2 linked regions of the Arabidopsis thaliana genome follow. The protein of the gene in region 1 interacts with the protein of each later gene in a pairwise test. Each region holds a gene or a part of one and is shown on either strand. Other genes may lie near its edges.

Region 1 (16,046 bases):
AACCCATACCAATCACATAGAAAAACATATAAAGCGAAGCAAAACTAAGATACTGATTTCTAAACCCAAAGACTCTGCTTAAAAGCCCATTTATACTGTCGACCATTTTATTGTTTACCATTGGATCTGACTGGTTTACTTAAACGCATAGAAGAAAAAATTGGAGGAAGCAAAAACTTGAGTGAAGTCAGCAAATAATCTATGCAAATTTCATGGTTTCCTCGGACTAATCCAAACAATGTTTTCTTTGCAGAAAACTCTTTTTTTAAAGCATCATGGTTCATGGATATCTTTTTTCAGATTGCATCAATACATATCAATTTTTTTATCTATACGTAAGACAAAAAGACTTAGACCAAGTTCATCGATAGTTTTTAGTGGGTTTCTTAGTTGGTCTCTAAGAGAATAATGGGCCTAAATTAAATAAAAATTCAACAAGAATTTTAGGAACGTTCCTAAAATTAGGTTTTTGGAAACTCATTAGAAACGCATACGTGGCTAATTGTGATAGATTGTTTGTTTTAAACAAAATGAATTTTTTCTCAGCTTTCTCTTTTGTTTGGTTTCTCCGTCGACGATACCAAAGGCGATTCAGCTTGATTTGTTTGATCCAACGTTTTGATCATGAAATCGGGAGAGCAACCACATATACTCAATATACAACCGCCGGAATGATGATCGACGATGAGATTGTTCACCAAGTCAACTTCAAACCGGATCTTGTGGTTATATTGTTCAATTCTTTGTAACACCAGGAGCTTCTATCATGTGGCTATCTCATGAGCTCTTACCAAGAGGTAGAATCCAGCTCTGTCTCAAGTATATCTCTTTTAATGCACTTCGAGTTTTCTGAAATTTTTGCTCAAAAAACATGGTTGTGGCAAAACAGAGCCTTTATCTGACATATAGATGGCGCTTAAGAACAGGCTAATAAATAATATGTTGTCTTAAGTTTTAGTTTCTATCTGAATGTTGCATGTTTGGTCAGAATGTACTTCACCTTCTAATATTTCGGCTTTAAGTTTTAGCTTCTAGTATTTCGGCTTCTAGTATATGTGTAATAACTTTGAGACTGAATGTTTGGTCTGAATGTTTGTGTTTGGTCTGAATGTTTTCAGTTTATGGATTAATGAGATGAGTATTTGTGTTTGGTGAATGTTTGTCTCAATGTTTTCAGTTTATGGATTAATGAGATGAGTATTTGTGTTTGGTCTGAATGTTTGTAGTTTACGGTTTTGTTTCATCTGTTAATGTCATGATTTGCTTCATTTTGCAGGACTGGGAAGAATAGAAATGGTGCCAACATCAATTGTGGAAGAGACCAAATGCTTTAAATGTATGTATTGTTGTGAGTTTTATCGATTAATGAGTTTGGTCTGAACTTAACCATATCCATTAATGACTGAATGTGTGTGTTTGGTCTGAACTTAACCAAATTGATTAATAGATGAATGTGTGTGTTTGGTCTGAACTCAACCATATCGACTAATAGATGAATGTGAGTGTTTGGTCTGAACTTAACCATTTTGGTTACAATCGAGTAATGAGTTTTATTTCATGAGTTTCATCTATTAGCTTATGTACTTGACCATTTTGTTTTCTAAATTTTTTTTTTTTTTTAAAAACCCTCTTGAAGATTTCACCATTGAACCATAAAAATTACAAAAAACTCTAAACTACAAAACAATCAAAATTAACTAATAAACAATTTGAAGAAACTCATATTAGAAACCAACCAATGTGGATGCTCTTACGTGAACATGTACGTGAAACTCGGTAACAAAGCCCATACCGGTTGGGCTTTAATATACTTTAAAAAACTTGGGTGGTGTTACATTTAGTTTTAAAAAATATACGCACTAACAAGTGTGTCGATGGTTTTGGGCCAAAATCCGTAATTTCTTTAAACCTGAAATCACATCATGTAATATTAGTTTCGTTACAAGTGTCACTCGAACCGACGACCTCTAATCTTCGCCTAAAATCTTTACCAATTGAGCTAATAACACTTGGTGAACGAAAAAAAATTACCATTCAACATTTTTATCTATTTAATTTTGGGCCTTTGAAAATGCTTACATGTGAAAGTTTTAGAATATATTTTTTTAAAATATTCCTATCATGATTTCTACAAACACCAACAGATCATACCATTATAGATAGTTGATCGGTATTTATTTTTGAATTTAATATTAAATTATATATTTGTTTTTTTTAATATAATTTAATATTAAATTAAAAAGATACCGATCAACTATCTATAATTGTATTTCTTATTTGTGGAAATCATGACAGGAATATTTTAAAAAAATTCTGTCCTAAAAATTATATATAATTAATCTATTGGAAATAGTTGATCGGTATTGCCACTTTGACAATATAAAATTATATATAATTAATCTAATGAAAATAGTACTGTTTCAAATTCTAAGTTCCTGAGTATATATAATTTGTAGACAAGCCTACATCGAACAATCTTTTCTTTTTTACATCGAGCAAGTTGATATTGAGAAATTGTGGTGATTCATTGTGGGACGTCCCCATTAGGTTGAAATTGCCGTTTGATAAAATATTTAAACTTGTATGGTCTAATGTTGTTTAGACTGTAGTATTTTTTATTTTATAACGGTTAATAATTTTATTTGGGTCAATACTCAATAATTATCACTTTGCGGAAAATGGCGGCACCATAATTTTGTTTCCAGGACATTGGTCCTAAACTACATTCTAGAACAAATTAAATTAAACTTCTTAAAAGTCTCTTGTCCAAGTATCAAAGGAAAACATCTACATCATTAAATTTGTTTTATTTATTCTAAAGCTCATATGCAAAATTATAAGTTGAAAAATAAGAAAATGTGAAATATATACATAGTAATTATAGTTTTTGAAGACTGTGAATAGACAAGTAAAATATCCGGCGAGCAATCAATTTAAAACCCAACCAAGTTCGAAAAAAAACTACGCAGAAGAAAATCCTCCTAATATCGTATCAGTATTTTCCATTGGTGTCAACTAATAAATAACAGAGCTGCGACCAACCTTTCTCAGCTTATCAATATCTTAAAATACATAAAAATAATCCATAAAAATACATGTAACTATCGTGTTAAAAAATAAAAATAAAACACGCAAATAACAAAAAAAAAAAAAAAAGAGTGCTCGAACCGTCCACTAATTAATCTAGTCGGGTGTGAACGATGAAAAATATGGCTCAACCACCTCATCCGCCCAAAATTATACCATTTGCAGCACTAAAAACTTATAAACTTTAGCACATATATAGTGACTGAGACTTACCAATCAGATTATATCCACTTATTTACTTAGGTCTTCGTCGACATATATTACTCTTTGAATTTGAAGACGCTTAAAAATTCCGATGTATAACACATTTTGAACATGTTTCGCCTGACGCAGTAAAGAATTAAATATCGTGTTTGACATAGTATACAATTTAAACTAGTACTAGTGCCTGCCTGCGTGTTGATCTCTTACAACACATTTTTGTAATGCGAAATTATTGATTTCTTGACCAATGTAGTCTATAATGCGTACCTTTTGAAGAAACTTAAAATAAAATAATGATAAAAGCTTTTAAGCTTTACGCAGTAATATTGATTAGAAACGGATTTGTAGGTATTATGTGCTTTTTGTATGTATTTCAATGACATAACTATACCGATAATAATTGTTACTTTTCGCGAAAATTAAAACGTTTATTTTAAATGGAATTGTGTGGTAAAGATGTGGGTGTTGTATATGATTGAAACACCATAATTTATGCCGAAAACAATGTATCGCAAAAAAAAAGAAATAAAAAAAAAGTCGTAAAACAGAATGGGACAAACAATCCCTGAACATATTCATGTAAAATCTTTTTTGGACAAATTCACCAATATGGGAGAGCGGTGTATGTAAATATATCTTGCACTATATATATTAATATTAGTGTCTTTTTTTCTCATGAAAAAAAATTCTCGGAATGAATATTATATACAAATTTTATGGACTATATAATACAGTTATATTTGCAACAAACAAATATTTAACTTTGCAACAAATAAAAACGTGAGAATTAAGAACGTAATTGTACGCGGAGAGTGCATGTAGCACTTGCCGGCCCAATAATGAAAAAGGCAACTTGTTTTTTGTTTGCTACACGACCTCGTAAAGTAAGGTTGAGCTATATTTTTATTCATTTATACATACAAAAGCGATATTGAAATCGAATGGCTCATATTTATGATGTGAACATGGAAAGTCAATTATATGTAAACTATAAGTCAAGTGTTGGACCAAATTTAGTGTTGTAGTCCAATTCAACAATGAAAATTAAACCGCCAAAAAAACACAAACATCCAATATAACGAATAGACACGTAGTTAAGACTTTAAATATCTTAAGAGATTAGACAAAAACCATACAGTTCCATTCCATTGAGATTTTCTTCATTCAGAATTTGACACCAAGTTTATAAATGTTTAAAATGTTAATATATAAAGTAAATTTCTCTTCATCCCACTGATTTCTTCAGGCTTGCCGGTCCAACTCATAAAATATAAAAATAGGCATATAAAAAAAAACAAAAAAAAACGTGGCCTACGCTTTTAAATGATTGACAAGGATTGGAATATCGTTTAGTTTTTGGGTTCGGTTCAGTTTTCAATTTTGGTTAGTGCATCCACTAACCATCTAGTGCATCCACTAACCATCGTCCACTATCCACAGTCCACACTATCCAATGATTGACCGCGTGAATTAGACTAAAAGGTTCAAACCCGTGACGTGGATAATTAGCATGAGAAGGTTGACTTGTGTAGATAGTTGTGTTGCTTTCTACAACTTGATCAAATCACTAATTTCCAAATAAACCGCGTCAAACCCCAAAAAGTAGGAAGTATATGGTAATATGGACATACATCATCATCATCATCATCATCATCATCATCATAACCACCTCTTCTATTTTCATATATGTTTTTTTTTCTTGTTTGCTTGTATTGATTAGTTTCTTCGTATAATGACAACCCAACTGAACTGAATTCTTTCTCGATTTAGTTTTTGTTTTTCTTTTTTCATGCATATATTACACCGAAACGTACATTCTTTAGCAAACGTAATTATAAAAGGATGCCAAAATCTAACCAGTCCAAATTATTACGAGTTCATATTTGAGTTATTTAACCGAACCGGACCATACTATTTAGTCATCACCTCCTAAACCATTGTTCACTTTTCACATATGATACGGACTTAGTTGGTAGGTATATGGATTATGGAGTACTATTTTATTACAATAACTCTCTCATAATTTTCACAATAAAAAACACGTGTGTACACTGTATACATACGTACACCATAAAACATGTGTTTTTGTGGTCCACGTATATCCAACACGTACATATATTAGTATAACAGTGTTGTTTTCAAAGATTAGAAAAATATCATTATATATTATTGTATAAACCTATTGAAAAGTCTGCTAAATTATAACTTTTTGCAATGCTTCCCATCGTACACCCTTTTTTTCTCTCTTACAAATAAATTTCTTGTTCAGGCCAGTTTGTTGGAATTCTAAATAGAATTGGGCATTGCTTTTTATTTATTTAAATATGTAGACTCCACTTATAAGGAAAAATAACTGGTATTTATGTAGTTGAATTTAAATGAGAAATGAACTGGAAGCATGCAAAAATAAAAATAGAATCCCTAATCCAGAACTATCTTTGTATAATTTTTAAGAACATCAGTTTCTTGGTCTGAAGTCCATATTAATTTTCTTACATGCATGTGCAGCCAGGTTCTTTTTGGTCTGCAATGCCATGAAGTCTTCCTTGAATTGTTATTTTTTTTTTAGTTTAAAGTAATGTATATTTGTGTGCATTAAAAAAAGAAGAAGCAAATGTTTAGTGTGAACACTGTACTACAAAATAATTTGGAGTTGGGATCTTTCAAGTCAAAACCTAATTGAAAAGGAAGAAAACACTGGTTATATCTATGACTTTATTTTGGGTCGGCTTAATAACGGAGTTTAGGACTTTATAATGTATACGATTCATCTTGCACAACAATCTACACGTATGAAAACTATAATTTTAAATACTAAGTATTCATCTAGATATTCTGCTTATCAGGAAGATTTGTTTATCTTTTTTTTTTTTGTTTATCTTGAACTCAAATAAAGACTTAAGAGGATATGAGAATCAATTTAGTGAAACAAATGTTGTGTAGATAAGATCCTGGGTCCACAGCTTTGTCAACAACAATGACTTGTCATCGTCTATGCCTAGCAAGTATTATAATAGATTATAGACAATTATGAGCGAATAAAAATCACTCAGTGAAACATACTATTGAATAATTTAGAGGAATCTTTCGAGAATTCGAAAGAGGACACAACATGTTTAGCTGGACGATCTTCTAAGGTTTCACCTATCGGATCATATATTACGAAAAAGTGAGAGTAATTATTAATTATGAGCTCCAACAAACAAGAGCAACTCAAATCAAAACTTCTGGACTAGACGCAGTAATTAATTAGAAAGAAAAAGACACGACAATTAAAGAGAAAGTTATTCTAGAAATTATTGGAACAGGAAAGCTTCCTCTATATATTTGCGATGGAAACAGAAAAAAACAATGAAACAAAAACATAGCCAAATGTTTTTACCACATGATTTTACCAAAGCTTATTAGATCTTGGTTCTTAGACTGGCGAGAAACTGAGAGAGATCGGTGGAGGAAAAAGGGATGAAATATATAGAAGTTGGATTTTGCTTCAATTAGGGTTTTGATTTGATGATTTTTTTTTACTGAAACAGAAACTGAACGGTGTTTCTAACTGTGAATTAGGATGGTGTTAAGATGGCAAATATTATATGTAAAAACTCTAGCGTAAATATCCAATGAGATAGCTAGTTAGATATTGTTTTGGCAAATGCTAGGTGTTTTTTTGGTATCATTTCCCCTAAGCATGTGTGTGTTTAGGTTTTTGATTAAAACTAGCAAATTCTGTGGACTGCAATACTCATCATATATGCCAAACTTCGAAATCACATCAATAATAACCTCAATAAATGTGAAGTAACTAAAGTGGACCCTTTGCCTCTTGTCTTTACATATGTAATCATCCATTTATGAACGGAATCTTATGAAATTTATGAACCGATAAGTAATTAATTATTTATTTTAATTTATAGTCTTTTTTCTACCCCATTGGTAATTTTGGAAACCAAATATCCAAAGCAACCTCTATCGCTTTACCCCCACCCCCATGCAGGTATACGTACAAATGTGCAATTTGGTCGGTCAACTGGGTCTTAGTCAGTAGCCAAATGTCTCCAACATTAAATTGTAAGAGAAGATGGCAATATGCATTCATATTGTAACAAACGTATATGTCCTCTAGACGGGCGTGATCTACCTTTAAGATTAGTTCAAAAGCATAAAGTCGACTGATAGCACAAAATGATGTCTTGCCAAATGTGTATTTCGGGTAGTTCGATGTTTTTGGGATCGGCAAAAGTTATTTGAGAAGACATTCATATATATATATATTTTTGATTTACGGGAGTAGGGTAAACATAGAACAATACACTTTATAGATATTTATATATACAAGAGAAATGTGTTTTTAATTAGGATTAGCTGGGAAAAAGAGAGGCTGGCTCTAGATCTTTTATACAGACACCTACCGACTTATAATTATTATCACTGCACATGCATGTGGATCATATATATTAAAAGTAAATTACATGCATAACTTACATTAAAACTAATTATTCATTATTCTTGTTTAGTTTTTGATACTTATAAAATTTTAAATTCTTTATCCATAAAACTAGAATTTTTTTAGAAATATACCATTTTTACTATGTGTATATATATATATATATATATATATATTTTAAAATTGACCATATGTGTTGTCCATTTTCAATTATACATATTTCAAAAATAATATATTTAATGTCTGTGACGGCTTATAGTGGTTGAATAATCATTCATATTTATAAAATCTTATAATTCATTTAGAAAATCTTGTATTTAAATTTTTTTTTTATAAAAAATCTTATATATCGTTATACATAATTGAAAATATACAATATATGCGGTTATTTAAAAAACATATTACTTGGATATTTTTGAAATTCCCCCATAAAAGAAGGGATTTTTTTTGAAATAGCTACAAAGAACATAAATTAGAAAGTATGTTGACTTTATTCGTAAATTATAAATGCTAGTAGATTTTAGAGAGAAAAAAAAAACGAAACCTAGTTTTTCTTTTACGCAACCGAAACCTAAAATTATTAAATTGATAGGTTTGACATATATAATATAATAATTCGATCGAAAAATTTGACTACAGAAATCTGAAATCATAAACTTGGTGTAATGTAAACATACATATCTCATTAAACAAAAAACTAATATATAAAATAATTGACTTTTGAAACAATATATTGACTTACTAGTGTAAAAATGGGCCTACCTAAATCCAGCTAACTCAGCCCACACATTAAAAAGAAACGTTAAAGGGAAAGTAATAAATGAAAATGAGTCACTCAGAGACAGATGTCTCTATCTTTCACAGCCAAATTCACACCATTCTTTATTTTCATTTTTCCCCCTTTGCCCAGATTCCGACAAAATCCACTCGTTTGATTCCACCACTATATATAATTGAGCGGAGAAGCTTGACATGAAGAGCAGAGTCATTCTTAACCATAGAGACAGAAGAGATAAGAATCATAACAACAACAACACCAATCATTACACACAGGTTGATACTATGGAGAGAAAGCCTCTTGAGGTTGAGCCATCTACTACGACGACTAACACCGATGTGGTCGATTCTTTCGAGGAAGAGCAGAGAAAAATCGTTTATAGAGGATGGAAAGTCATGCCTTTTATCATTGGTAACGCTCCTTTTTACTTGTTTGTGTCTAATTCAGACATCATTTTTTTCTTTTGGGGTGCTTTGTCGGATTTTAGGGAAGTGTAACATTTTGTCCGTGATGTTTTTAAATTTCGTTTCTTTTCTCTTCTCTTTGACTTGACTCTGTCAAAAATCTCGAATTTGGAGTTCTTTCTCTGAGATTTCGAAGTGAAATTGGTTTTAAAACTGAGATTTCGTTGAAACAATGAAACCCAGATAATCTTACAGATCTGTCTAATGGAAATTATATTTTTTACAATTGTTTTCATTTTATTTTCAAAGAGACTTTTGAAATCTTTAACACAAAAAACAGAGACTTTAAATCATGCAGTTAAGTTTCTGAAAAAAGTAGATAAGATTTTTGTGAATTTCTGGATAAGACAAAATTAGTTTATGGGAGTTACAAAACAGTTATAAAGTTTCATGTGAACCAAAGTCAGAACATTGGAAGTCCAAACTTTGATTTGTGTGTTTCCTTGTACATTAAATGTAAAAAAAAAACTGTAACTGTATTCTTAATTTCTTATCATTAATTTGCTATTGTAGGTAATGAGACATTTGAGAAGCTTGGGATCATAGGGACATTATCAAACCTTCTTGTGTACCTAACTTCTGTATTCAACCTTAAGAGCTACACAGCTGCAACTATCATCAATGCCTTTAGTGGTACAATCAATTTCGGGACTTTTATTGCTGCCTTTCTTTGCGACACTTACTTTGGTCGCTACAAGACTCTCAGTGTCGCTGTCATCGCTTGTTTTCTGGTACTACTTTTATATATAATCTTTCATGACTCCGGTTTCGTTTTCGCCAATGTTTTCTAAACCATTTTTCATCTCTGTAGGGATCGTTTGTGATACTACTTACTGCTGCAATTCCGTCGTTGCACCCCGTTGCTTGCGGAAACAAAATCTCGTGCGAAGGGCCAAGTGTGGGACAGATACTGTTTCTGCTCATGGGTTTAGGCTTTCTTGTGGTAGGCGCTGGTGGTATCAGACCGTGTAATTTAGCGTTTGGTGCTGATCAGTTCAACCCCAAATCCGAATCAGGAAAGAAAGGGATCAACAGTTTCTTCAACTGGTATTTCTTCACTTTCACGTTCGCGCAGATCATCTCGCTCACAGCAGTTGTGTATATCCAGTCAAATGTGAGTTGGACAATCGGTTTGATCATTCCGGTGGCTCTTATGTTCTTGGCGTGTGTGATTTTCTTTGCTGGCGATAGATTGTATGTAAAAGTGAAAGCCTCGGGTAGTCCATTGGCTGGTATTGCTCGTGTTATAGCAGCCGCGATCAAGAAACGAGGTTTGAAGCCGGTTAAGCAGCCTTGGGTCAATCTTTACAACCATATCCCGTCTAACTATGCAAATACTACTCTAAAATACACCGACCAGTTCAGGTAAATTGATATCTACTTATTCTTGGTTCTCTTGCTTTATGTTTCTGGCTTTTGTTTTGCTGAAAAATGTTTGTTTATTATGTTGCCAGATTTCTAGACAAAGCAGCAATTATGACCCCCGAGGAGAAGTTGAACTCCGATGGAACGGCTTCCGATCCATGGAAACTATGCACGTTGCAGCAAGTGGAAGAAGTGAAATGCATTGTAAGAGTGATTCCAATCTGGTTTGCATCCACGATATACTACCTTGCAATAACTATACAAATGACTTATCCGGTCTTCCAAGCGCTCCAGAGCGACCGACGATTAGGTTCTGGTGGCTTCAGGATTCCTGCGGCCACCTATGTAGTGTTCTTGATGACTGGCATGACAGTTTTCATCATATTCTACGACCGTGTACTTGTCCCGTCGCTCAGAAGAGTGACCGGGTTAGAAACCGGTATATCACTCTTACAAAGAATCGGAGCTGGGTTTACATTTGCGATAATGAGTTTATTAGTTTCCGGGTTTATAGAGGAAAGGAGAAGAAACTTTGCATTGACCAAACCGACACTCGGGATGGCGCCTCGGACAGGAGAAATCTCATCAATGTCAGCGTTGTGGCTGATTCCGCAGCTTACACTTGCAGGCATAGCAGAAGCTTTTGCTGCCATTGGACAAATGGAGTTTTACTACAAGCAGTTTCCTGAAAACATGAAGAGCTTCGCGGGTTCTATCTTTTATGTCGGTGCAGGGGTTTCGAGCTACCTCGCTAGCTTCTTGATATCAACTGTTCATCGAACAACCGCGCATTCACCTTCAGGGAATTGGTTAGCTGAGGATCTGAACAAAGCGAAATTGGATTACTTCTACTTCATGCTCACAGGACTCATGGTTGTTAACATGGCTTACTTCTTGTTGATGGCTAGATGGTATAGATACAAAGGAGGTAATGATGAAGACATCACTGAGATTGAGACCAATGAAGAAGAAACCAAGCAACAGCAGCTACAAGACAAGAACTCTGTCTGATCTGGAAACTTATATATTTTTGGTATTCTACTTCAATCTCCGTAGTTTTTCTTCACCCGAAATCAACCTTGTTGTACTTTTATAGATTAATTGAAGAAGAAAATCACTTCATCTTTGTAGACATGTATTGTAAAATAAGTTTTTTGTTGCTAATTTCAACCTCCGTACGAAGTTTCTGTTTCTTCTTTCATCACCACAACAGAACAGAACATAACAAACCGCTAAAAGAAGGCTACGAGGATTCGATATTTATATGCAATATGTATGTATTAACTACAGACACAACCTTCATGACCCAACTGAAATCAGCTTGCACTCACTTTCTCAGACAGTGTAAGCTTGTTGAATGGTTTCTATGTCGAGTCCTTTGAGTCTCACCACTGATTCAACATGGCCCTTGAGCGTGTGAAGTTCACGCAACCTATAAAGAAGAGAGCAGTAGACAGAGAGAAGACGATGAAAAAATGTTCTTTTGTTATGTTCAAAAAGCTGGAGAAGATTTGGCTTTGAGTTACTTTACCTAGCAATTTCAGCTCTCCTCTTGGCTTCTTCAGCCATTTGGTTAAGTTCACTGACATGGGTTCGATCTGTGAACATCTTAGTATCTGGTGCTTGTAGACCATGGAGCGTTCTTTGTGCGTGAGCCCATTGCAGCTCTCTTTGTTCTTTCCCAAAATCTTTTTGCCTTGTGAACGCAACCTATGAAAATGCAAGAAACCCGATAAGAAACTTTAATGTATAAAGTGGCACAAAAGCTATTTGTGTTCCTAATAACATACCCTTTGTTCGATAACAAGATCCCAGGCTCTGCCACTAAGAGCGTAGCGGATGAAGAATTTGATGAAATCAAGGGGGATGTAGAATATGATGTTATAGAGCCAAATGACCCCGGCCCATCCCCAACCTATTCCTTCTATCGCAGCAAAGCTCCAATTTGCATAGACTGCAATTAGAGTAGCCACCTGTTTTGGAAGCAAAACAAAAATTCATATAATTAGACCCAAAGCTCATAACTTTTGAGGTTCTCATTGTGTACTGATCACACAGTTAACAAACTTCCGGAATTACCAACTGAGCGAGGATAAAGGCAATCATAAGAAATATCCCGGGACGTTCCACAAAAGACCAGCTTCGCGATCGGGTCACAAAGATAAGTGCCTGACTGATAATACTGACTTGCAGGTATATGGCTGAGGCAAGCTTTCGGAAATCATCATGAGCAGTTTTCTCAAGTGTCGCAACTCCAAAAGTTCTCTGAAGTTTCAAGTAAGAAAAGCTGAGATTAGCTGTTAGTGAAAGAATTAACAAAGCAAATAAAACCAACGAGATAAACACAAGTGACGGAGAGGAGAGAAAATGTACCGGGAAGAAATCGGTTTTGTATGAAACCCAGAAAAATATAACGGTCATCATGGCCATGTAACTGCCAAAGACAACACCGGTAGCAAAAATCTCAGAAAGCTTCCAGCTATCTGGAAGAGGGGAAGGTTTCACCCTGTCCTTTGATATTGTCATGATCGTACCTAAACGTCAATTCCACAAGAGTTCATTGGTATATCAGAGTCTAGAGGAACTAATAGAAAACTCTGAAAGTCTAATTATGATCGAGAAAAAGAGGAAATAAGAAATGAACCATCATTAAGAATGGCAATGATAAGGACCATGAAAGGTGGGAAGTCAAACTGCCATATGAGAGCCAGAAGCATAAAGCCCAGCTGAATCGGTAAAAGTGTACAAAGCAGTCAGAATATTAGTGGTAACAGTAAAAGAGAAATGAGTAGGAAAACCCAAAAAACTGAATCGTAACATACAACAATACGGATTGTGATGGAGACTGCGTAGATCTGTCCAGTAAAACATGAAAACCAACAAAAGTTAAAAGGAAATTGTCATGAGGCCTCAATGATTTGAGATTTCAAAGAAATATGGCACTCACAGTATAATTTTTCATTCTCTGGAAGATAGCACGACTGGTCAAAACAGCACTGATGATAACGCTAAGACCAGGTTCAGTAAGAACAATATCCGATGCGCTACGAGCTGCATCAGTGGCATCAGCAACTGCAATGCCTATGTCAGCCTTTTTAAGAGCAGGAGCATCATTTACACCATCACCCGTCATTCCACATATATGTTTCCTGGCTTGTAATCGCTTCACTATCTCATATTTATGCTCTGCAGAAAACCCTTGGGCATAAGTGAGAAATTCTGTTTATAGATGCTGGAACTAGTTTCAGAAGTACATGAATTTACCAGGGAAGACACCCGCAAAGCCATCAGCTTTCTCTATGAGCTCATCGACAGGTAAAGCAACTATCGACTCATCCTTGTTCTGTCCAAGTAAAGCGGATGAGGGGTACATGTTGGTTCCCATCCCCAAACGGCGCCCAGTCTCTTTTCCTATAGCCAGTTGATCCCCTATAGAGAAGCCTCAAGCCTTTAGCAAGGATAAATTTTATCTTGACAAGAAATGTCAAAATGACAACTTGACAAGGATAAATGCTATAAGGATCAGACTGAAATATCAATATGAAATGGAAATTCACTAAATGCTACGAAATGTTTTTCACCTGTGATCATTTTAACACTCACACCAAGATTTAAAGCCCTTCTTATCGTCTCAGCACTGTCATGCCTAGGCGGATCAAAAAGAGGCATGAGACCCACAAATTGCCAAGGACCTCCAGCACTATCCTTCCTCCCTTCAGGAACATCCTGCAAAAGTACAAAACCTTTTCAACCTTGAACTTTATATCAAATTGCTGTGACTCAATATCTTAAGAATCTTGGAAAGTAGATCACCAATTGACCTGGTACGCCACAGCAAGAGATCGCAGACCCCTTTCAGCGAACTTATCAATAACAGCATGAACTCTCCGCTCAATCTCTGATTTATTGTGTGCAAGATTTAAGATCTGAAACATTTTCACAGAAGGTAACTGTTCAGACTATGCTCTAACTAAAAATTGAAAATTAGTAAAATATAGGCACAACTGGCGATAAAGAGCTTACTTGCTCAGGAGCACCTTTGCTCACTCTATGTGTGTTACCCTCATTGTCAATATATGTCAGAGCCGTTCTCTTATCAGTAGGATTGAAAGGAAGAAAGTGAACCTCCTGGATACCAGCTCGTGCCTACAGAAAACGGTTGACCATAAGCGCCAAAGAAATAAACAGAAAACAAAGGAAGCTTAATAAATCTTAGAATGCAGTTCAGTGAAACCAAATACATCTTTAGGATCTGCCAGCATCCCGACTATAGCAGCATCTATAGCATCTTGGTTCTCTAGTCTGGAGGCTCGAGCTGCCATCAGGACAACAGTATCTGCATCCACTCCTTTCATGAAAACTTCAATCAGATTTTTGTCAACAGTAAGTTTATTCAATGTCAAAGTGCCCGTCTTGTCACTGCAAAGAACGTCCATGCCAGCCATTTCCTCAATCGCCGTCATTCTCTTAGTGATAGCTCCCTGCTGAGATAGTCTGTGGGAGCCAATTGCCATGGTCACAGACAGAACTGTAGGCATGGCAATTGGAATTCCACCAATGAGAAGCACAAGAAGGTTATCAATCCCAGGGCGGTATGCTCGGTGTTGAATAGGGTACATCACGACAATCTCAATGAGCATCCCCACAGCAATAGAGCAGATGCAAAAGTTCCCAATTGCAGTTAAAACCTGTGCACATGTTTGAATAAATTCAAAAATAATATTGGTTTGTTCCAGTTGAACAAAGTCCATGATAGTTGAAGCGAGTTCAAAAATGAGAATGTGGGTGTGTTAAACAAGAATCGCTAGTAAAGGGAATGAAATAACACATACCTGTTGGAAATGACCAATTTGGTTTGTCGTATCAACAAGGTGAGCAGCCTTTCCAAAAAAGGTATGGACGCCAGTTGCGATAACAACTGCTTCGATCTCTCCTTGTTTGCATGTAGAACCGGAATAGACACCATCTCCAGAACTTTTGGTTACTGGTAGAGATTCACCAGTAAGAGCAGACTACACAGCAATTTCTTAAAAGCTTCAGCAAAATAACTATAATTTGATAAGTAACAAAAGCTTAAGAGAATCAGACACTATTCTCTAGACATCCGAGGTGACTAAGATTGACACTAATGAATACTGATGATCAGTTTCCAAACCTGATCGATCTTAAGGGGATCACCCTCGAGAAGGCGTGCATCAGCTGGGACGATATCCCCAAGCTTGATGCTGATTATATCACCGGGAACGAGAATCGCAGCATCCTGCTCACCCCACCTTCCATCTCGAAGAACCTTCACATATACATTTAACATAAGGAAAAATCAAATGGTCAACCAAATGAGTTAAAGAGAGTATCCAACAAAGCAAAACACATAAACAAACAAAAAACATAAAAAAACTCGGTTATAAGAAACAATTGAAAATAAGCATATAGAACCTTTGCTTTCGGGGCTAGACGGGCCATGAGAGCAGCTGCAGCGTTTCCTGCATTGTTCTCCTCAATGAAACTGATGGTGGAGTTAATCACAAGCAGAGTGATAATACCAACAAAGTCTTGCCAATCAGGAGGTTTTCCCTGATACAAACATTATCAAGAACAAAAACTAAAAAAAGATATCAAAACAAGTACAAAGTAAGAGTTAAGAAAATAGCTTACTCCTCCATTAGCAAGCGCAATAGCCATAATAGCAGCAGCTTCCATCACCCAG
Region 2 (15,565 bases), about 15 Mb from region 1:
TACATATCATTAGAACATTCCTTCGTTAACAGTATTGAATATTTATACTACTTTCTAATGAATACGATTAAATTAATTCCCTCATAATTAATACTACTTTATAGCTAACCCCCAGATCTCGTTATTCAATTAAGAGTAAGGCATGTAATGCCGATTTAGACTGATTTCAAAAGATTTTCTCGAACAATAAAAATATGTAATCAACTTCTTTTCTTTTTCTTTCAAACTCAAATTTGTTGGGTCAACTTGTAGTATATTCAAACTCAAATTGGTGAGCAGAAGTTGACTTAAAAATATTGGGAAGCACGTGGATTAGTGTAAGAAAAACACAATGTAATGTTTCCCTTCACCGGCCAAGCAGGTCAACATCTCTACCTTCTAAACACACATCAATTTTTTGTTGAATATTATATTTCATCGATTAAACAACTAAACTTATATTTGAAAAAATATCTCAAACCACTCGGATAATAGAAAGATCAGAGTATTGATAATTATTAAATCTTTGATTATTTCACCAGCTACAAAACTTTTCTAAATAGATATGTATATAAACAAAACCACTCTTGTAAGAGTAATAAGTGGGGTTAGATCAGAAAATACCCAAAATAAAAGAATAAAAGAGGCATTAATTAATGCAAAGGTTATATCCGTCATTTTGGTGTAAAGTAAAAAGCTTGAATTTTTATGGAAGCTGAAATAAGAAGGCTGTTATTGTGGCGCTTAGCTTTCGGGATTTGGTCCAGTCGTCTCTTTTAGAAAGATTTGACCAACACTGAGGCTGAAGAAGACGAAGAAAGAAGAAGAAAGTGAAGAGCTTTGAGCTTGTCCGTACGGTTTGTGAATCTCCTTTACTTCCCCAGTTTCCTTATTTAGTGAGCTTGATTTGGTTTTTGGATCCGGTTTCATTCTCGAATTCGGGCATTTCTCTGTTTTTGGTTCTCTTTGGATTGAAGAAGTCTTTAACCGGGATCTTCGGTTTTTGTTGCTTTCGTTTTATCTTTGTTGAAGATTGAAGATTGAAATGGAGTTGCTTGTTGATTGTGTTAATCAAAGTTTTTAACTTTTGTTTCCATCGACACGACTCTGATATGTACTTATATAGAGCTCTGATGGGGTTTCATTATGAATTTCAAATTCAGATTGAAACATTGAAACTTTGTTATGAACATTTTTTGTTTTTCATTTGCTCAATTCCTAAAAAGTAGGATTCTTTCTAGCTTTTTGGTTTGGTAAATTTGGCATACTCTGCCTTTATTTGGGAGACGTGGAGGAATCTCTTCTTTTTAAATGTGAATTCAATATAAAAGTTTAGATTTTTTTTTATATAAAGGCTTTATGATTGTAGACTCGTCTTCTTCCATAAAAGGCTTTCTTTTTGATAGGAAAAAGGGATTTTTGTTTGCTCCTCTCTCATTCTCTGCCTCTCTCTGTGAAATTTAGAAGTTCTTGTTCTTTCAAGTGGGACCAAGAATCAGATGCGTGTCTTAATTTTCTTGTTTGATAGAGATTTGAGCAAGTCTTTGCTTTTGTGACCATTTATCTATTTTCATGTTTTCCTCATTAGTTTTAGATTATTGCATGCATCAAAAGTTAGTTACTCTTTTTTATTCTTTCTGATTCTGATTCTAGATTCATACATCGTGACTTGGAACCTGATTCTTGCATCTGCTTTCTTCGTTGAATAGCTGAGCACATTCTGTTTCACCAGTTTACTGGAGGTAGCTTCATGTTTTGTTGAAAGAATGTTCTCCTTAAGGCTGTGAAGCCTTTTGCTCTGCGGTTTGTCTGAGCGTTTCTGCTTTAGCTTCTTTGGAGATTTACATGTCTGGCCTTGACGTACGAGGAGCAGTTTCTTTTGCTGAAAGAACTAAATCTGTTGATGCACTTACTAAGAAAGAGATCCTATCGGCGCTAAACAGTGGAGAAGTTTCCGAAACTTCTGAGGATGCTAGGTTCAGAGTTAGGGAGCTGGTTCTCCCCGATGGCGAATCCTACAGTGGTTCTTTGCTTGGAAATGTACCCGAGGGACCAGGGAAGTACATATGGTCAGATGGGTGTGTTTACGATGGAGAATGGAGGCGTGGGATGAGACATGGAATTGGAAATATGAGATGGGCTTCCGGGGCATCTTATGATGGTGAATTTTCAGGCGGTTATATGCACGGTTCAGGGACCTATGTGGATGCTAACAAGTTAACGTATAAAGGAAGATGGCGGCTTAATTTGAAACATGGGCTCGGATATCAGGTTTACCCTAATGGAGATGTCTTTGAAGGTTCTTGGATTCAGGGATTGGGAGAAGGACCAGGGAAGTATACTTGGGCTAATAAAAATGTCTATCTCGGGGATATGAAAGGCGGGAAAATGTCAGGAAAGGGTACACTTACTTGGGTTACCGGAGATTCCTATGAAGGAAGTTGGTTGAATGGAATGATGCATGGTGTTGGTGTATATACGTGGAGCGATGGAGGTTGCTATGTTGGGACATGGACACGGGGTTTGAAAGACGGTAAAGGCTCGTTTTATTCAGCGGGAACCAGAGTTCCGGTAGTGCAAGAGTTTTATTTAAATGCTCTTAGAAAGAGAGGTGTTTTGCCAGATATGAGAAGACAGAACCAAGTTGCTTCCTCGGTTAATATGGAAAACCTTAGAGTTGGTGTGAACCGTAATAAGCTCTCAAAAGGGAGCTTAATAAACTTAGAACAGTCCCGCAATGGAAGGGTTTCTTTAGAAAGACGTTGGAGTCTTGAAGTATCTATTGAGAAAGTGATTGGACATGGTTACTCGGATTTATCTACGGCAGTTTTAGATAGCGGAAGTAGTGTGCAGTATAAAGCTAACATACCAATCTTGGAGAGGGAATATATGCAAGGTGTTCTGATCAGTGAGCTTGTGGTAAACAACGGGTTTTCGCGCACATCCAGAAGAGCAAAAAGGAAACACAAAAGACTTGTTAAAGAAGCTAAGAAGCCTGGAGAAGTTGTTATTAAAGGTCACCGGAGTTATGATCTGATGCTCAGTTTGCAGCTTGGAATCAGGTATGCTTGCTCCTTCTAAACCTGTGCCCTGTGAGCGTGTTTAGCTCTAAATTCATCACCGAATATTGTTGTTACTGAACTAGTTCAAACGTTAGATACACAGTGGGGAAAATTACGCCAATACAAAGACGACAAGTTCGGACAGCAGACTTTGGACCTCGGGCTAGTTTTTGGATGACTTTTCCTCGAGCTGGCTCCACGATGACTCCTCCGCACCACTCGGAGGATTTTAAATGGAAGGACTATTGCCCAATGGTATTCAGGTTAGAACTTGTGTACTGCATACTTTTTTCTTAGTAGTATGTTAACTATAGTAGTTGTGTCCTTGGTGTTTATATTCATTGCTAAACCTTGTAGAAACCTGAGGGAGATGTTCAAGATCGATGCAGCTGATTATATGATGTCCATTTGTGGAAATGATACTTTAAGAGAACTTTCTTCTCCAGGGAAGAGCGGCAGCGTCTTCTTCCTGTCGCAGGATGATCGGTTCATGATCAAAACACTCAGGAAATCTGAAGTCAAGGTTTGTGACTACTTACATATCCACCATCTCTGTTTTCACATTATCTTCTTAGTTTTCTCCATGTCTTTGCGTAGACTCTTTGTCCGTCTGCCCATTGAGCTTCCAGATTTACTGTGTAGGTTCTTCTGAGGATGCTTCCAGATTACCATCATCATGTGAAGACATATGAGAACACCCTCATTACTAAATTCTTTGGCCTTCACAGAATCAAACCATCAAGTGGTCAAAAGGTCCTGAACCAAAATACCTCAAGATTCTGATTTTGATTTTTTATTATCATTAGCTTTGAAGTTGCCGACATTGCTGCCTCTAAATATGATGTAGAGTAGAACTCTAACATTAGAGCAACATTTGGAAATCCAAATCAATCTTAAAACTAACTATGTTTGAAAATTTCTCTTCCATTGCAGTTCCGTTTTGTGGTGATGGGTAACATGTTCTTTACAGATCTAAGAATCCATCGGAGATTTGACCTTAAAGGTTCGTCCTTGGGACGCTCTGCAGACAAAGTCGAGATAGACGAGAACACGATACTTAAAGATTTAGATCTGAACTACAGCTTCTTCTTGGAGACTTCTTGGCGGGAAGGTTTACTGAGGTATTACTCTCTCCAGGACCTTCTTGTAAGATATATACATTTATCAATCCATATTCCGCAGTTTAAAATTTCTTTTCTTGCTGTGTAAACAGGCAACTAGAGATCGATAGCAAGTTCTTGGAAGCACAGAACATAATGGATTACAGTCTTTTGCTCGGTGTGCATCATCGAGCTCCACAGCACTTAAGATCCCAATTGGTCCGTTCTCAAAGTATAACAACTGATGCTCTGGAAAGTGTAGCTGAAGATGGTGAGATTCTTTTTTTCATCACCTGTAAAATGATTCATACTATTTTTCTTCTACTGATGATGATGAAAGCAGATACAATCGAGGACGACATGCTGTCTTACCACGAAGGATTGGTTCTCGTTCCTCGGGGAAGTGAAAATACTGTAACTGGCCCTCACATCAGAGGCAGCAGATTACGAGCATCCGCTGTTGGTGATGAAGAAGTAGATCTCCTTCTTCCTGGAACAGCCAGGTAACTAACTCTCACCTGGTTGGAAAAATGAAAAACTAAGACTTAACAAATGCTGATGACAAATAAATGGAATACATATGATCCAGACGACATGGAACTGATTGAAACTTAGTCCAGTTCGGTTTTTGAAAAGAATCTCTATAAAATGCAGGCTGCAGATACAGCAAGGAGTGAACATGCCGGCAAGAGCAGAGCTGATACCGGGAAGAGAAGATAAAGAGAAGCAGATTTTACATGACTGCTGCGACGTCGTACTCTACCTTGGCATTATAGACATCTTACAAGAGTACAACATGACCAAGAAGATTGAACATGCTTATAAATCTCTTCACTTTGATTCTCTTTCGATCTCAGCCGTTGATCCAACATTCTACTCCCAACGTTTTCTTGAGTTCATCAAGAAAGTATTTCCACAGAACAACAAATCATAGACAGAGAATTGAGTACAGAGTTTTATGTTTTTTTTTGTAGAGATAAAAAAGAATTCTATGTTGTAAGTATGTTGTATACAGATCTTGAGAGCTTCAATAAATAAGTAAAAAACTAATTCTCCTTTTCTTGATTGCATGAAGTATTTGGTTTAATTATTAAAAGGCAAAAATATAAATAATCAAAAGTCACAGAAAAGCCCTAACGTGTTGTCTTCTTCTTCTTCTTCTTTTGAAGAGTAAGAAATCAATGTCGTCCCTGGAAAAGAAGAGGAAGAGGAAGACTACGACTAGGACAAAGAAGAAGAAGCTGTCCCCAAATCAGTCAATCCCTATGATTTGCTATTGGACATCATCGCACGCGTCCCAAGATTGTACTATCCGACTCTCTCACTCGTTTCCAAGAGCTTTCGATCCCTCCTAGCTTCACCGGAGCTTTACAAGGCCAGCAGGTCATTCTTGGGTCACACCGAGCGTTGTCTCTATGTGTGCTTACGGTGCTGTCCTGGTTATCGCTGGTTCACCCTGTGTCGGAAGCCAGATCAAACCCTATCCAATGACACCACTGAAAAGAAGTCAAGTGGGTATGTTTTGGCAACAGTCCCCATTCCTAGTTTTCATAAACCGCGCTTTTCGAGTCTCGTGGTGGTTGGTTCTGATATCTACTACATCCACGGGCCCTCCTCTAACGTCTCGATTCTGGATTGCCGGTCTCACACGTGGCGCCAGGTTCAAAGCTCGATTCTAGATTGTCGGTCTCACAGGCGGCGCAAGGCTCCAATCTTGCCGGTGGAACATTCGTCACTTACTGCTAGCGTCCTTGGTGAAAAGATATATGTAGCAGGATGTTACAGCGATATGCATTTAGGTTCTTCTTTCTTTGAGGTGTTCGACACGAAAACGGAAGTTTGGGTTAGTGAGCCCATCCCTTACAGCGACAGAAAATACAACTTTCTTCACCCCAAAAGCATTTGTATTGATGGAAAGATCCATGTAGTGACTGACAGTGAGGGGGTTGTTGCTTACAATCCCAAGGAAGGTATATGGTTGGATTTGGATCAGTATATGCGTTCAGATTCTTATTGTGAGATAGATGATATTTTGTACTCTGTTTATAGCAGAACGGTTATATGGTATGACACTGAGGCAAGCAGGTGGAGATATTTGGAGGGCTTAGGACAACTTACGTTTCCTCTTGGTGCTTCTATTAGGGCTTAGGAAAGTTAGCGGTTTTGTGGGACGAGGATTTGCTTTATGGTTTGACTAGTTTCGTCTATAAGAAGAAGATTTGGTGTGCGGAGATTTCGCTTGAAAGAAGCAAAAGTTGCGAAAGTTTTGGGAAGTTGAATGGTTTGATCATGTGCTTACAGTGCCTAAAGAATGTGAATTGGTGAAAGTTCTTGCTGCTACTGTTTAATAATTGCGTCACAAGGCTTGAAACGAGGTCTCTTTGTCTCTTTATTCACTTGTAATCATTTGATTTCACTTGCTGATTGATTGTTAAGCTTACTTTGTTGTGACCAAAATGCTTTTGATAACTACGGTCGTCTCTTTACATATGTGTAAACAAAACAAAAAAACACTTTGGAGAGTAATTGATTTGAATGGTTAATTTTGCAACAGAAAGAGTTTTTTTTTTTTTTGGTTATGTTTTAAAGTGTAAAAAAAGCCTTTGTTCATGTACTTGTTCCAAAACTGATAGTAACTTGTAATCCATACAAGTGAACTTGTGAACACTCTTTATAACAACTTATCTTTCATGAGAGCTTCACTAAGAAAACTAGTTTTCCTTTGTGTTTTTTTGGGTCTGAATCGCCGCAAACCGCAAAAGATAATTGCAAACGTAACAGTAGTGCTTTGATTGCATGAAATATTTGGTTTTATAATAAAAAGCTAGGAAAAAATAAAAAAAAATTTGGGAGGGAGCAACAAACACGTGGATACAAAACAAGACGGACTTTGGAAGAAACGTTGAAACAGAAACAGATACGTGTCGTGAAGCGAAATGTCGGAGAAAGGAGAAGAAGCAGTAAAGAGTTCTTTAATGTTTTTGACAGTATTTGTTCAACAATTCTCATTAACGTTTTTCATTATTTGTTTTCTGCTCTGTAAAGAATAAAGTTTCTTAATTTGTTGTATGAATCATAGATTTCTCTGCAGAGGCAAAGTTTTCTCTCTTCTTTTTTCGATTCATTCTTTTACAAGATAACATAAAAATCACTTCTTTTGTTTGTTTGTTTATCTAAGTTGAATTTGATTTGATCTCTTTACTGTAGTATTAGATAGAGTGAGAGATTGTAGAAGAAAATGGGATCTTCTTCTGGGCAAAGTGGGTATGATCTATCTTTCAAGATCTTGTTGATTGGAGATTCTGGTGTTGGTAAAAGCAGCTTGCTTCTCAGCTTCATTTCCAGCTCTGTCGAAGATCTTGCTCCCACCATTGGTAATTTATCGTTCGTTCTTAACAGTCTTAGAGCTAGAATCTTGACTGGTCAAACTTCAAATATCTCTTTGTCGACATGATTTTTTTTTGCATTGAAGGCTAGCTTATTGTTTGTGAGCTAGACCACTGTCTGGTCAAAATTCAAATGAAGTTGAAGTTTGAGAACTTGAAGTTTTCTTTATGATTTTCTGTTTGAAAATAAACTCGGAAAACATAACTCTTGATGCTTATCTGAATTTGAAGCCTGCTTGAGTCTGATCAGTATAACATTGTAGGTGTTGACTTTAAGATCAAACAGATGAAAGTAAGAGGGAAAAGGCTGAAACTTACAATCTGGGACACAGGTAAAAAAGCAATAAGAGCAATTCGAGTTTTTGGAACGTGTGTAGTTGGTTACTACAAAACTCATGGTCCATGTGATTTCTTGTTTGTGATTGTTGTGTAGCTGGACAAGAAAAGTTCAGAACATTGACAAGTTCTTATTTCAGAGGCTCCCAAGGAATCATTCTCGGTAATGATATATGAGATCATATAATTGTCAGTAGCTGTTGTCGTAATAAGTTCTCAAGACTTGTATTAATACTCTCTCCGGATTTTCTTGGTCATGGTGCAGTTTATGATGTCACGAAAAGAGAGACATTTTTGAACTTGGCAGATATTTGGGCTAAAGAGATTGAGCTATATTCGACTAACCATGACTGCATTAAGATGCTCGTTGGCAACAAAGTTGATAGAGTGAGTAGCAGTAGTAGTAACACTTGTAGTCAAACAACTTGAGATCGGTTTCACTGATAGTTGTCATTGCAGGAATCAGAAAGGAAGGTTAGCCGGGAAGAAGGAATGGCTCTAGCGAAAGACCTCAATTGTTTGTTTCATGAATGTAGCGCAAGAACCCGAGAAAACGTGAACGGATGCTTCGAAGAGCTAGCTTTGAAGGTAAGAAAGAATCTTGATGATCCCTTTTCACTTTCAAAACCGGTCGAAACTGAGGAAAATAAATAATAGGAGAGTTGCAAAATGAAACAGATAATGGAGGTACCTAGTCTTTTGGAAGAAGGATCAAGCTCTGTGAAGAGAAAACCGGATTACCGAGCTCATCAAGGCCGGTGTTGCAGCTCGTGAGTCACCTTGTTAAAATCGGGTCGGAAGTAGCCTCTTTTGTGTGTAAATTTCTCAAGAAGCTTGACTTCTCTGTAAATTTATCAATTCCTTCGATCTTTCTTCTTCTTGCCTCGGCGGAGATTTTGTAATAAGTTTGTAACCCCAGAATATATGAAAAAAAGGCACTTCATGTTCTTATTATCTCGTGATTACTTTTAGTCTGAAATTTTATATCTGTCACAAAACACAGGAACGAGATAACTCTCTAATTTCGAGCCTTGAAGCCGTAGCTTACACACATAACATCTGCATTTCATTAATTCAAAGTTTAAGCACTTAAACATTGTCTACCATTACCAGTACAGTGTTTGGCCATCGAGATAGCAAAATACACACAGCTATCAATTAAGTCTATCCTCCTACTAATAAGAACATAGGACGATCCCTTGAATGATGCGAAGAAGATTAAAGACGGTAAGAGATTAGAAACAGGTTCAGAGAACTTCTAAACATAACTGCAGCAAGCTGATTTCTCATTTGTAGAAGACGATGAGGCTTTGTTAGCATCTTGTTTAGTGATCTTGATCCCTTGGGGCTGCAAATCAACAAAGACAGTATTTGATTTTCCTCAGCAATATTTACAGTTTCATAATCCGAGTATCAAGCGAATAGTAGATTCCATGTGCTTCTTTACCTCGGCTTTTGTATCGCTTTCTGTGAGTCTTTGTTTTATGTCTTTAGCGATAGAAAGGAAAACCTGCTCGACATTCTGGTTTGTTTTTGCACTCTGCAACAGTTTCCAATCATATTTAAGAAAATGAAAATCTTCAAACAAACAATGAATGAGGAGACAAACATATTATATATTTTCGCACTCACCGTCTCAAAGAATTTGATTCCATACTCATCAGCAAGAGCTTGTCCTTTTGATGTTGGGACAGCCTGTAGAATAAGATGCAGCATCAGTATCCTACGAAATGTAGGCAAAACATGGTCAGGATTGTGAACAGAGTACAGAGCAAAATTACCCTTTTGCTTTCGTCCATGTCGGCTTTGTTACCGACCAATATCTTGTTGACACTATCGGACGCATGCTGCTCAATGTTTTTCATCCAGTTCCTAATGTCTGGAGAAGCAATTTGTGTTAGTTCCCACACAAAGGTGACTTTTAAGTTCTAGTAAGAATATAGTTCCTGGTACAAAGAAAAGCCAGAAGACCTACTGTTGAATGATGACTCATCTGTTACATCATAGACGAGTAATATACCCATCGCTCCTCTGTAATATGCTGCAAAGAAAAATGGACCAAAAGAGTTACAAAGAAATGTCATCTGAACTTTATTAACAAGAAAGAAAGTAAACAAATAGACTTAGAATGATGAGTAATCATCTAACAGAGGAATCAGCAGATTCATACACAAAACATAAAGAGTGATCTTCACTTCACATAGAGCAGAGAGAAGTTTTAACCTGTGGTTATAGTTCTAAAACGTTCTTGTCCAGCAGTGTCCCATATCTGCAATTTGATACGCTTCCCATCAAGTTCGACTGTTCTTATCTTGAAGTCGATTCTGAAAAACATGAAACGTACTTAAACCGAACTTTTCAACAATCTAACAAGACAAGATACAAAGTCAAAGAAAGAAAGACATACCCAATGGTAGTAATGAAACTCGTGGTGAAAGTATCATCCGAAAAACGCAGTAACAAGCAACTTTTTCCCACACCTGCGTATACACACACACACATAAGTACGAAATGAAGAGAAGAAAATTTAACACAAAAAAATGATGATTTGTGCAACTCTATCTGAACTCATTGTAAAATCAAGTTAATAAAACTGATTCATTAGTTCTTCACAAAATCTAAGTTTGAGATATTGCTTATAATTGAGCCAAAACTTCCAAAAGGGAACTACGTTGATACTTCAATTAAAAGAGAGTGTAGCTCATCTACTTTGTTGATCAAACACGAAAGAAAAACAAAAAACGCAAAAAAGTTCAAAATCATAAACCTAATTCAGATCGCAAAACAGGCAGGAGAGAAGATTCTCGGATAAAAATGCAATAGTCTCTGAACCTCGTTTGTTCAGTACTTCTTAAGAGATAGAAAGGCAGAGACTTACCGCTATCACCGATGAGGAGAAGCTTGATGAGATAATCATAGTCTGAACGAGCTCTTGCCGGCGCAACCGCCATCGGAGAAGATGTTAGTAATCACTATTCTGTATCCTCTTTCTAAACAGAAACTAAAACCGAGCTTTTGCTATTTTCCCCCGGAAAATCTCTTCTCGCCGGAGACAGCCAAAAAGAAAGGAAAGAGGCAGAATAAGTGCTCTGCTTGCTATCAAGTTCAAAGCTGCTCATTGGTGGATCATATTTTATTACTTTTTACTGTTTTAGTCTTTTATTTCTCAAGTATTCACACTTCAATCCACCAACTTATTAAACCGCTCAATTTCCTTCTTGTTAATATAGATGTTTGAAATGTTTAAAATTGATTCCAGTTTTCTTACAAAGAAACTAGTATATTTTGTACTACTCAAATCTGATAATAATTTCATGATTAAAACCGACACGGAAGTTCTTAATTCCATAGGTATCAAAATTTGAAACCTTTTGTATATGAAACCACCAAAAAACAGGATTAAGAAAAAGTTAACATTTTGCTACTACTTCACTGAGTCGCCAAAACTGGCCAATGAACTCTGCAGATTTGCAGCATCACTAGGAGATCATTGAGTTGTTTATCGCTTCTTCGAGTATCCTCTTAGCATCAGTGTTTAAATCAGCTAATTCACCTGGTGTCTGCATTATCACAACCTTGTTATTATCGCTAACCATACTTCAAAAGCCAAAGATAGAAATTGCTTTCAAATGTTTTTTTTCACCTTCCCATAGGAGTTTTGTGTCGTTGGTGAAGCCCCGGAACCCAGCAAAAACCTAACCACGTCAACATGTTCACCTCTTGCTGCGTGATGCAGAGGCTGTGAACAAGAAAAACTTTGGGATGAATTACATTATAGAGAGCAAGAGCTAGAGGGAATGAGGCAATTGAAGATTGAGAATACTTACAGTATCACCTTCTATATCTGCTGTTTCAATCATTCTCTTCACACATTCAGGACTACTAGCTCGGCTAAAAAGAAGCTGTACTATTTCCAAGTATCCTGCGAGCCCAAGTTAAAGAGAAAGAACAATAAGCCACAGAATGTGACCATGCCGTGAGACAGAATTACCAAAAGAATGGTAGGACCATGACAAACTTTACCTCCAGCACAAGCATCATGTAGAGGAATTGCTTCGTCTTCATCTTTCACTTCCATATCAGCTCCTCTTTCTAAGAGCAGCTGCAGTGAAAATCAATACAAAAATTAATTTACAGATACATTAGCTATCAGAGTCGATGGAAATGACAAAGAAAAAGCAACCTGAACACAAGGTAGGTGACCATATAGACATGCCAAGTGAAGTGCCGAGTCATTATCCTCGAGTGGCTCATCGACTCTCCCATTCAAATTGTCTATCAAAATCAGAAAAGGAATATGATTGCCTTTAAACATTTCATCTTCTCAAAAACAGCAGAAAGTGCACAAATTAAGACATATCCACACAATGCAAAATCTGATACCATTACTTCTACCAGTAGAAAGATGATCTAGACTAAACTAATTTTCATCAGTTCAAAAGAGTATGCAAATCTTACGTCAGATCAATCACAGCCCCAAGCAACAAACAAAACAAAGATAGACATGAATACACACATAGGCATAAAACTAGAGGTTTCTCTTATCCTTCCTAAGTGAACCTAAACTAGATTGAGCAAACCAGTGAGTCAAATGGAAAATGAAGCCCTTAAGGTGGCTTAAAAGGATGAGACGAAGATCAAACTAGAGGAATCTTCTGCAATGAATGTGGGAAATTTTGAGGCTTTTTTGGTCTGACCAGCTAATCAAGCAATACGCAATTGAAGATGAAATTGAAATTGAAATTTGTTAAAAGCAGCAACGAGAAGAAGTAAGGAAAGTACCGATGGCGGTGCGCAAGGCGGCGACATCTCCGGCCTGAGCAGCGGCGGCCAAGTCACGGAGGTGAGAGGGAAGCTCGGAATCGGTGTCGTAGTCAACACCGTTTTCCTCAAAGATAGCGTTTTCTCCGTCAACATCTTCTTCTTCATTCAAACCATTTCCTCCTCTTGGAACAGCCATTGTAGTCTCTCTTTGTCTCGCTCTCTTTTGTTTTTTCTCCACCGCCGTGGAATGATTTTCTTGTAACAAGTAAAACAACTAATCGCCGCCGTGCAATAAGCTACCTCAATAAAATTTAGGTTTTCTCGTGGTGAATTGGCGCAGTTAATTAACTGTATATAACTTGGTATATTCTCTCGGTCTATGTTTTCGGTCCAATGGCTCTGAACCAATTTGGTTAATAATAAAGAAGACGATATTGTGTTTAGTTTACCTTAAGAGTTAAAATGAAAACTCTTCTTATCTTTTGGAAATTGAGGAATCAAATACATTGTCCTGGATCAGTTGGAAGACTAGTTTCCTCCTATATACAAATTCAAAGTTTTGATACAAATAACACAAAAAGTAGGGTAAGAATGGATCAAAACAAGAAAACCAAATTGGATTTTGAGATGGCTAATAACACAAGCTACAAACATCCATCCACAGTATATATAATTAAAATTTTACAAAATTTTAAAGTGCCTTTCCACGAACAAAATTAGACAGAAGATCACAAACACATTTCTTAGTACTAAAGACATATTCTCTGATAGTAATGGCTCACTTCTCTCTCTCTACTTCTCTGAGCAATCAGATTTTGAACCCATGATTCTCAAAACAACAAACAAATCCAAGTTTGATAAGAAAATTAATATAGTAACTCATTTGATAAAATGAGAACAAACAAAAAAAAAAGTGAAAGAATTATACCCTTTTTGATCGATCTAGGAAGTGATCATATGATCTTCTTCTCCTCCTCCTCCATCTCGCTCCGCCGCTGCTTCTGCTAATCTCTTCCATGTATATTGCCGTTGTTCTTCTACTTCTTTGGATTTCGCTTGTTTCTCTTCATACTGTCTCTGACATTCTTCAAACAGTTCAGGATCCATTTCCATGAACATTTTCTTGATATTTGTGGTTAGACCATGAACTGCTTGGTTCCAGTGAGACTGGATGTTCTTCTCCAGTGTGGGATATATGATTGGAAGGATCACGCTTCGGTTTTGCGCGATTAGACCCACAATGTGCTCGTTGTTCCACAAGAACAGTGCTCGTTCTGCAACCTGTATCGGATTTATGAGATATACATATGAGCATAAGGCAAACCCCACATAGAATTCTAGGAAAGTTTGAGCTGTTGCACAAAGACATAACGGGAAACTTGTGTGATTCCTAGAAATCAGTAAGCACAGTAACAATACATTCAGAGAGTTAATTCACTCCATAAATTTTGAAACAACTGAATCATGGAAAATGAAGATGATCTAGGAATCCAAGGATTTAATCAGAGTAGAAGCTATCAAAAGCATGAGATATAACGCATACTTATGAGAGTTAGTACCAACAAGATCATTTTATGAATGAAAATCAACATGTGGCAAAAATGAAGAGAAAGAGGCAAAGCAAAAAGAAAAACAGAACAAAAAAAAACAATTTGCACTAAACTTGATGAAGCACTAGTTCTTTTCAGGGAAGAAATCAGACCAGAGTCAAAAGAGCTAAATAACAAAATCTCCATATTTAAGGTAATATGCATAATAAGCCTTCCATGTGGGGATTAAAAAAAAACACCATTGCAAACACGACGACTAACCTGAAAGTGGGAGCTAGTGAGACAGCGACCAATTTGTTGGAATAATGGAACCATGCAACGCTGGAACTCGACAGGCTGTGTTGCCTCAAGAACTTCTTCAAGTTCTCCAAGGAAGAGATTCTCCTTTGAGCAGTTTGTCACGGGCCAATACTTTAACAATCCCCTGATTACTGTATCCGCAAGCTTATAATCTTTTTCCACAAACTGAACGATGCAATAAGATAACTGCTGATGATATACAACGATTGGTTTTGGCTTATGCAATGGTATCAACACCCTGATTAAGAATAGCTTGTGTTCCTCCTTCATAGGCAATGCAAACCCGTTTATGATACTGCCTAGAATCTCCAAGAGTTCCCCAATCCCACTGTGTCTCTCTGTCTCATAAATAAACCTATAGAATATGTTGTTGATTGCTTTCCTAATAAAGGGTCTGTGGACCATAAACTTCCCATATATCCTATGAAGAATCGTTTTCAAATACTCCCTCTCTCTTGGGTCCTCAGAATCAAACAAATCGAGCAACTTTAACACAAAAGAATGGTCGATATACCGTTTGGCCACCTTTGTATCAGTGTCAGTCGAAACAACATATCTCAGGAGCAACTCGTAAACTAGCTGTAAGTGAGGCCAAGAAGGTTCCAAATAAGGTTCTTCTTCCTCAGGATCTGCAGGCTCTTGACCCGTATTCTCGTGTGATGCTGGTGGGAGAGACCGGAAAATATTAACAGAAATCATCTTAATCATTTCTTCCTGACACGACTCTGAGATCTTACTAGATCCAGACTGTATAAAATCCACCAGCTCCAACAACGTTTGCCTCTTAATCTCCTTGTCTCTAGCATTCTTAATCGTGTCAGTGAAATCGAAAAGGAAACAGCAATTCTGAAGTTTCCTCAAGAACAAAGTTTGCCTCTCTGAAACCGGCACATCTCTAAACAACGGGAGTGGCTCCACCGAGCCCAAAGGCGGAGGAGGTGGAGTTGCAGTCACTGGCGACGGAGAAGAATTAACCAATGCACCACGAGAAGCGTGACTAACGACCACATTGGAGCCAGGACCTGACCTATTATCAGGTAGACCAATCCCATAACTAGACGGTTCATTAGCTTCGGATTTAGAGGGCT

The links.
Region 2: the proteins of GTR1 (region 1) and RABC2b interact in a protein complementation assay, tested with the Arabidopsis thaliana proteins (one large-scale study listed by BioGRID).

The regions. Positions count from the first base shown.
Region 1 is NC_003074.8:17,693,430-17,709,475, reverse strand, and holds GTR1 (Major facilitator superfamily protein), read left to right. Parts: upstream 1-8,552; 5' UTR 8,553-8,704; coding exon 8,705-8,921; intron 8,922-9,487; coding exon 9,488-9,705; intron 9,706-9,785; coding exon 9,786-10,339; intron 10,340-10,428; coding exon 10,429-11,350; 3' UTR 11,351-11,534; downstream 11,535-16,046. Other genes in the region: AT3G47965 (uncharacterized protein), read left to right, coding at 767-797, 1,277-1,380; HA4 (H[+]-ATPase 4), read right to left, coding at 11,675-11,771, 11,871-12,049, 12,130-12,312, 12,419-12,604, 12,713-12,873, 12,984-13,065, 13,162-13,194, 13,287-13,525 and 9 more.
Region 2 is NC_003074.8:3,029,936-3,045,500, reverse strand, and holds RABC2b (RAB GTPase homolog C2B), read left to right. Parts: upstream 1-6,998; 5' UTR 6,999-7,379; coding exon 7,380-7,515; intron 7,516-7,790; coding exon 7,791-7,859; intron 7,860-7,960; coding exon 7,961-8,026; intron 8,027-8,128; coding exon 8,129-8,250; intron 8,251-8,322; coding exon 8,323-8,451; coding exon of another isoform or gene 8,452-8,517; exon of another isoform or gene 8,518-8,541; coding exon 8,542-8,637; 3' UTR 8,638-8,890; downstream 8,891-15,565. Other genes in the region: PIP5K9 (phosphatidyl inositol monophosphate 5 kinase), read left to right, coding at 1,825-3,041, 3,137-3,304, 3,399-3,564, 3,684-3,794, 3,975-4,162, 4,255-4,412, 4,485-4,644, 4,796-5,075; RABE1e (RAB GTPase homolog E1E), read right to left, coding at 9,122-9,211, 9,311-9,403, 9,496-9,558, 9,645-9,742, 9,839-9,904, 10,087-10,187, 10,271-10,343, 10,742-10,814; AT3G09890 (Ankyrin repeat family protein), read right to left, coding at 11,343-11,423, 11,507-11,602, 11,691-11,785, 11,887-11,965, 12,047-12,138, 12,646-12,823; ATB' BETA (Protein phosphatase 2A regulatory B subunit family protein), read right to left, coding at 13,570-13,908, 14,439-15,565. UniProt on the Arabidopsis thaliana protein: Intracellular vesicle trafficking and protein transport.